Linked DNA regions of Coturnix japonica. The protein of the gene in region 1 purifies or fractionates together with the protein of each later gene. This does not show direct contact. Links are inferred from orthologs where the notes say so. Each region holds a gene or a part of one and is shown on either strand. Other genes may lie near its edges.

Evidence for each region.
Region 2: the proteins of RPP25L (region 1) and IBTK purify together in Homo sapiens (co-immunoprecipitation; 3 studies listed by BioGRID and IntAct, with this or other methods). This does not show direct contact. The link is inferred for Coturnix japonica from reciprocal best matches to the Homo sapiens genes RPP25L and IBTK.

Annotation. Positions count from the first base shown.
Region 1 is NC_029547.1:7,294,139-7,298,415, reverse strand, and holds RPP25L (ribonuclease P protein subunit p25-like protein), read left to right. Parts: upstream 1-1,174; 5' UTR 1,175-1,609; intron 1,610-1,868; exon of another isoform or gene 1,869-2,127; intron 2,128-2,330; 5' UTR 2,331-2,339; coding exon 2,340-2,885; 3' UTR 2,886-3,634; downstream 3,635-4,277. Other genes in the region: DCTN3 (dynactin subunit 3), read left to right, coding at 1-1, 626-715. UniProt on the Homo sapiens protein: May be a component of ribonuclease P or MRP.
Region 2 is NC_029518.1:71,357,432-71,361,244, forward strand, and holds part of IBTK (inhibitor of Bruton tyrosine kinase), read left to right. Parts: intron 1-1,205; coding exon 1,206-1,386; intron 1,387-2,537; coding exon 2,538-2,661; intron 2,662-3,813. UniProt on the Homo sapiens protein: Acts as an inhibitor of BTK tyrosine kinase activity, thereby playing a role in B-cell development. Down-regulates BTK kinase activity, leading to interference with BTK-mediated calcium mobilization and NF-kappa-B-driven transcription.

The DNA.
Region 1 (4,277 bases):
AGTATCCTTTTAGCTGGTGCCTTGGATTGAACTGCCCACCTGTCTCTTGGGCCACCTCACCCTGTCAGAGGTAGCTGGAAGCAGGCAATCCCCAGCCTTAGGTTTAATGGCCGGTACCTTTTCTGGTGTAGTGATGTTTGTGTTCCTGTTATTATACTTACCTCAGGAGTGAAGTCCTGTTACAGTGCCGAGGGACAGAACTATCCATCCGAGACAGGAAGGGCAGGGTGTCGTCTGTGAGTCAGAGCTTTTGTGATGGATCTGCTTACAGTGTGGCTTAGCACAAAGGAGCTGGCATGTCAGTTGAATGTGCCTGTGACCTGCCAGAGCCTTGCAGTTCATCTCATACCAGTGCTGAAACACATCCTGAACTATAGTGGGTGGGGGAGTTATGTTCTTTTCTGAAGCAAGACCTTTAATTTGCAGCACTATGCAGTGCTTAGAAGTGGTGTGTAGTTGGTATAAGTCTGTGTAGGCTGTGTAGACACAGTTTTATTCACCCTTTTCTCCTCCAAGGAATTGGTTTTGGATCAGCACTGTCAGGCTGATGGGTGCTCCAGCTATTCTCTAACCTTTATTTCCTCCTAGAAGTTTTTGCTTCTCTTTCCTTAAGAGGAACAACCAGACTCTGCTTCTCTCCAAGCAGTTTGTCCAGTGGAATGAAATACTAACACAGCTGGAAGCAGCCAGGGAAGTGAAACCTGCAGCAGAGTGATGGCAGAGCAGGGAGGGCGAAGACCAAAGTCCTAGGATCCTGTTGGCCTTGCATTATTCAGAAGAGACCACAGCAGCTGCTTGCATCCTCTTGCCTCAGTATCTTTATACTTAGTGTGAGTATGCTGCAAATGGTGTCACAGACTCCTGGGGGCACCCTGGCTTTGTGGCCCTTAATCAAAGCAGCACCATCAATATGCCACTGTTTGCATATAGTTTTCTCTTAATATGCCACTGTTATTAATATGTTATCTTTTATTTTAATGTTTTCAAGCTAGTAACGTACTTTTAAAGTCCCTTGTTGCTCTTATCGTGGATCACAGTAAAGCCCTAATGCACTGGTCTGGCTTGTCTTTTCCTCCCGTGAATGCATCAGTGGCACAGAATGCCTGGTTAAGCTCAGGAGGGCAGATCCGCGTGCTGCCAACAGCCCATGGCTGATGTGTCATAAGGAAACGTTACTCCTGGCATGAAGTAGAAGCAGTGATCTGTGTGTCCCTTCTTGGGGCGGTTCCTGGTGCCCTGTGGGAATGGGAACTTGGAGACTGGGGGAAGCAAGTGACCCTGCCCTACGTCGTGCCTTTGCTGATCAGAATGGCAGCAGCGAGTCAGAGCCGCAGCCGGTCCTTTCTTATTCAGAAAGAGTTATTTGCTGCCCCCTGCCTGTAGTGCCTGGGCTGTGCAATTTATCCAGGTACAGAACAGAATTACTGAGTTGTGAACATGTCTTTAGTGAAGCCCAGAGCCCAGCTGTGCGCTGGGAGATGCGGGCCCACCCCGCCCTCACAGCCCGCCCAGGCCCGGCGCCATCACTCCGCCACTCCGCCTCCCTCCCCGCGCATGCGCACGCCTGGCGTCGGCCGCCATTTTGCGTCGAGTGTCGCCGTGCCGGCAGGTGAGCGTGCTTTCCGTGTGTCCCCCATCCCGCCCCGCAGCCCGTCCGCCTCCCGCACCCGCAGAGCCGCCCGGACAGCGGTTCCCGTCACCCCGGACCCGGATGGTGGGGCTGGGCCGCCTCCCCTTGGCGGAGCTCTCCGCCCGAGGCCTTCACCGTGCCTGTGGGGGGAGCCGTGTGACTCTGTGGGCCTGGGGGTGGGGGTTGAGCGTGAGCCCGTTTACCTGAGTTCTTTCATTTATTCTTTGCTTTTTCTAAGGATTCCGCCAGCTGAACCAGCGCTGCTCCTTCCAGTTTCGACCCCTGTGGCAGCATTCATGTTGCCCGCCGGTGTCTGAGCTGCCGCTGCTGGAAATGACTGCTGTGCTTTGCACTGCTGCACATCGGGGTGTTCTGGTGGATAGTTTGTATCTGCCCTGTCCGGCTGACAGAATCAGACAGTGCCCTTTGGAGCAAAGACTGCACGTAATTGGAGCGAGAAGCCCTTTGTGCAGCCTTTAGAAGTTTCTCAGGTACAGGTGTGTGGAGCTGCTGAGACTTTTCTGGTGGCCAGAGGCTGAAATGATGCCAATGGCAGCCTCAGTTTTGAGCCCTGCTGTGCTGGCACAGGTTGCTGGAAGCCACAGTTGCAGCTGCGCTTCTCGCTGAGTGGGAAAGCCCACAGTGGCTGGTTTGTATTATCACTAATTGCAGGTATTCATGGGTTGCTTTTCCTTTTCAGTGCAGCAGAATGGAAAACTATAAGAAGACCAAAATCGTGGAGAAGCCTTGTCCTCTTCCTTTCACTGACCTGCCTCCTGATATCATTGAAATGAAAGTGAAAGATGGAAGTAAAATAAGAAATCTGATGGGCTACGCCATTGGCAAGATGGAACTGGACTCAGTGAGGCAGATCCTTTTCACTGGCTCAGGCAAGGCTGTCAGCAAAACCATCACGTGTGTGGAGATCATGAAAAGAAGGCTCAAAGAACTCCACCAGATCACCAAAGTGCTTTTCAAACAGATCGAGGAGATCTGGGAACCCATCGTGCCTGAGGCAGGTCTGGATTCCTTGACAGTGAAGAGAAACATTCCTGCCATATGTGTCCTGCTGAGCAAAGACGCCCTTGATCCCCAGGAGCCTGGATATCAGGCTCCGGGCTCTTTTGACGCCTTCTGGATTGAGACACTTAAAGCAGAGTCCCAGGCCCAAATGAAGAGGAAGCAGGGTGGAGGAAGGGGAACTGGCAGCATGGGAAAGCACCCTCGTGCCAGTGGAGGGCTCGGGGAGTCCTGAGTGAAGTCCTGAGACAGAGACACTTGTGGGTGTAGCTTGGGGATGTTACAAAAACCAGCCAGCTGCTCTGGCTGGAAAGCTGCTGCTGAACACAGGCTTCCAGATCTGTTAGGGGGGTAGACAGGAGAACTCACTGTTCCAAAATTGACAAAATTGTAGCTGTCTAAATTGTGTTTTGGCAAGTTTCCTTGTCAGATGGTGCCAGGCTTCACTCCATAGCCTGTGGCTCAGGGATGAGATGGAAATATGGGATTTACCTTTTTGGGCAAGGATTGCTGGCATCCAGTTAGTGAGCCCAAAGAGGCATTCCAGGTATGGCAGTGCTTTGCATGGGCAGGAGATGAGGCAGCTCCTAGAGGGGAGATGTGTCCCAGGTTGGGCTGCCAGCCCATCATTGCAGCTCCTCTGTGTGGATGGCACAGCTCAGGGCTGGGTTGGACACTTTACCTGTGCCTGAGAAGCCATTTTCTGCTCAAGCCTTCCAGTGTTCTGATGGTTTAGATGTGGGACTGCAGGGGTGCAGCTCACTGTGTGCCAATCATCCCTTTCTGTCCTCTCACTTCCCCTCTGGTGCTGATGGTTACACCTCTGGCAGGAGTCAACTAACGTCATCACCATCCTGAAACCACGTAGGCAGGGGCAAATGCACAGGGGTGGTAATGGTGAGCTCCAAAGGATGCTTGTTTCCCCTTTCTACTCCTTTGTAATGCATAGGAATGGGTTTAAAATAAAGTTTGTAAGTGACAAAAGATGTGTGATGTGTTCCACGTTGCACTGGGGTCACCCTCAGCATTACTGACGGGCTGCAGCTGCAGGCGTTTTTCTCCTGTAGGTGGGCCCTGATGAAGGTTTTCCTTTGCCATTCACCTCTTCTAGCAATGGGAAAGCCAAGGGTTTATTTTTTCTGTCTGGAAGAGCAGATTTGAGAATACTTGGTGTGAATGCCACTGGATGGAGCAGGGGATGGAGCATCACGTCGTGTGCCACAGCTCTGCTCCTGGATCAGCTGTGGGAGGTGATGCTGGGCAGGAAGGAGCCGCAGGGCCATGGCCATACACAGCGCTGCTGTGCCAGCGTGGACTCTATGGGCTATGGAGCATCTCCCCAAGCGAAGCCCACCAGGAGCAGCCAGCAGAGCCCGCAGCTGTGTGTGCTGCTGGCAGCCACGAGGGGTCCCCAGCTGCCCGGCGGATTTGCATCGTACCCGCTGCCGTGCCGAGCTGCCCGGTGCAGGACGGAGCTGTGCCGGGCTCGTTCCTCGGTGCAGCCGCTCGGACCGTCCCTGACGCTTTGCACTGCACGGGGCCGCGCTGGTCACTCGTGGGCGGACAGCGCAGCCCCACGTCTGCGGCCGGTGGCGCAGAGGTGCCTTGGAAGCACGTGTAGGTGCCG
Region 2 (3,813 bases), on another chromosome or scaffold:
CGCAAGATCTTGCTGATAGTGTCTTCAATAAATCATGAACTATCTCATTTGTCCAGCATAAACAAATTACTCATAATTTTTTATATACTAACTTTTTGAAGTGAAATCTTTTCCTGAATGTAGATATATGTATATATTTTTAATTACCATAACCTTTACTTAATTCGGTATTATTCTGACATGAGAACCTGATTAAAACATGTTACCAACATGTAAACTTCCTAATTTGTTGTATTGATGGGATACTTTAGTTGCGTTTGTCTTTTTTAATAAACATATATTGCAATAGTGTAATTGGACAGTTCTTTATGCAGACAAAACTTAGCTAGCTCTGGTACTTACAGTTAGTCTGCATCAGTTCTGAAATCTGGTTTATACACCTTTGAGTTCCTATTTAAGAGTAAAAAGTTATCTGATAAAAATACCTTTGTCAGAGAAGCATCTTACTAATGAATATTTATTTTATATGTGTGTATGCATTTATCTTATACATTACTTTGTGGTTACTTGTGCTACTGATATTCTTCTGCTATGCATAAGACCCACCCAATGCAGTACGATATGAATACAGTAGCTTGGATCATAAGTGGTGTAGTTGTGTCAGCTGAGAACTGTGAAAATAAACCTTGTGCCTCTACAGGAAATTTGGGTGTGGTGCTGTGCATTTAGGACAGGATTGCAGGCCTTTGTGTTGCAGATATAAGTGCACAGGGTTATGCTGTGTACATTTTTACAGTTTTCAGTTTTACAGTTTTCTGAGCCCCTACATTTACAACTCCAACTTTTGTTTCAACTTAGTCCCCTACCTTAGTGCTTATATGCACTTACAGTGATTTCTATGACAACCTTGTTTAATACCTTCCAGTGATATAATACTTCTAGTGTTATGAACTATAATGCAATTGGATTGAAGTTCTTTCTTTGAGATGAAAGGCAATGCTACTGCATAGTCTAATGCTATTAAATAGCTGGCCCTGTAGAATGTGCTTTACTTTATGTCAGATCTTGAATATTTTCAGGAATTCATGGTAAACTAGCAAGTATGTGTGGTGCATCTGTCTTAATGCTTTGAAGATGAATTATCTAACTACCTAGAAAATCTTAAAGAATTTAAAGGTTCTTCAAAGTAGGTTAGCAATATGTTCTTTGATCGAGTTGTGTGGAATGTTAAATAATACTTTTTTGGGGTGGGTTGTATTTTCTAGGTTATCTGCTGGATCCTAATGGAGAAAAGTGTGTAACTGCACCTCGACAAGTTTCTGCTCTACACCATAAAGATGTTTCTGTGTCGCTGGTGTCTGCAAGTGATGGTGCTACAGTGTGTGTTACTGAAAGAGGGGATATTTATTTACTTGCAGACTATCAGTGCAAAAAGATTGCTTCGAAGTATGTGTTACTTTTCTAATTTGTTATGAAGTTTGAGGTGAAGGTTTCACTATAGGCTTCTACTTGCAGTAGAATTATTATACACAGTTTTGTGTATAAAGTAAGACTAGTACAGCACTACTCTGAGTTTTCTTCATTCTCAGTTGTCATATGAACTGCAGCAACTTTTTTGAGTTTGTTTTGTTGTTAGATGGGGCCGAATGCCATTCATTGTTTACTAAGGATATTTTAAACAAAACAGTAGGAAAAAATATTTCATGCTGCAGGCTTAATTTTGAAACTGGTAATTTTTTGTTCATTTTCTGATTTCAGTTTGTTTAAATGTATCTGGGTAGAGATGTTGAGGATGTCCTGCTTTGTTCTGTTTTTGAGTCAGTCAATGTGGCTCTGAATTTCATAAAGAACATGTGGAAATAGCATGCTGCATAGAGTAATTTAGGTTGGAATAAGGACCTCGTGGTACCACCTGGTCCATGTGCTAAAACCTGTATGTAAAACCTGTTGAAGAAACTGGGCCTATGACTCATAAATTATAATTAAGTTAATTAATCTCATTCTCTCTGATAGTTTTCATGAACAGATCAGAAGAGGTAATACGTTTTTTCAACAGCTTCCAGTTATCTTTTCAGCTACCTTTGAAATACTACCAGTATTCATTAGCTTAGGGATTACTATTTATACTTCTGTTCTCTATCGTTAAATAACCATTCTTACACTAAGAAACTGGAAACTGTTATCTTCCATGGCTTTAAGCAGTTAGATTGGAGGGAGGTTGAGAAACTCCTGGAATAAAAGGGCAAAAGGTCTTTTACTATAAACTGCTAAACAAAATTAAAACTGAAATGTATGTGGTTCTGAAGATTAAAGCAATTTTTTAATCATGAAAAGAAAACATGAATATGCTGTGACTTTTTAAAATACAAAATAGGTCTGTGCAGTCTACTAATAAAATATGATTAGCAGTTATGTTAGTTATGCCAGCAGATAGCTACATTTAGGTAGCTCGTCAGTGTTACTATTTTAGCTGTGCTTTTTTTTTTTTTTTTTTTTTTTTTTTATTACTTATCTAAATGGTAGATATAATTTGGTCTTAGAAGCAAGATTTGTTTGTGATGGAAAAAATACTACTATAACCTTTTGTGTTCTTCCAGACAGCTGAACCTTAAAAAAGTTCTAGTTAATGGGGGCTATTTGGAATACAAGGTAGACACCCAGCATCTTAAAGAAAATGGGGGTCAGAAGATCTGCATTTTAGCACTGGATGAAGCTGGAAGAGTAAGTTATGTTTCTAAAGTACCAATTTTACAGCAAACTGCTTACTGAATAATAAGTATGAAACCGTTTACGCTCCCTTGGTGAACCTCTGGTTAAAGAAATCAAAATAGGACTTACCTTGGAAAGGAAGATAAAATGCATGCTACAATACTAAATAACTATACTTTACTGTTTTACTATAAACTTAAGTTGACAGTAAAAAAATCAGTCCTAGAGGATGCACAATTCCTTTGCGTAGTGCTGTTAGTGATGTGTTCTTCTATAATATATTAAAAAGCTATGGGAAAACTACTGGAGTGATCTACAGTACTTCATTTTTAAATCTGTGAACATCTAATAGCCTTTTAATGGAGATTGAAACTGTTTTTCTTTTGCATACAAAAGAAGTTAGGGCGTACGTGGTTCTTGTCTTCTATCTTCTCTTACCTCACCTCCCTCGTCACCTTTGCGCCCTCCAGAAACAGTCTCAGAAAAGTTGCAGCTAAGCTCTGTGAATAACTAAGGATTTGTAGCTGTATGTAAACAGTGTCGTCTTAGATCTGTGATGTTATGGTGGATTTATTTTGTCTTATTCTCTTCCTCCTCTCACAGAGGAGCAGTTGGCACAGGCTCCTTCAGAATACTCTGCCAGCCTTTCCTAGCCTAGGTCTGTTCACTGGGAGACCTTAGCCTTCAGTGCCACCTAGTGGTGCTTACAAAAACATTTTGTTATCGAAATGCTGCCTTAAAGAACGTTAAAAACTGTGTATCAAAATAGTGATCAGTGTAGGTATTTCCCTTTCTTTCCTTGCATTTGATTGAGCAGATCATATTTGTTAGGTCATTAGCTGCCTCGGAGGTCATAAACTTGTGCTTCAGTCCTGTTATGAGGTTTATTCTCTAGTATCTGTGGTATTGGTAGAGTCTCTTCAGCATCTTTGGGGTAATACTTTGGCACAAAAAACTACTTATCTTCCTTTTTGTGTCAACCTGCACTGCATATCTTGCCATGCTGAATACTGGCATATACTGGGATTTGTGCTTTAGACTCTGAAAAGGAGAGAGATGCTTTAGACTGAGAAATGGGGTATCTGAGAGGATCTAACTGAGGAAACACTTGTGTTTCCTCAGTTAGCAACTCCTGGTATAGCTTGATTGTTGTTTTTTCAGCTA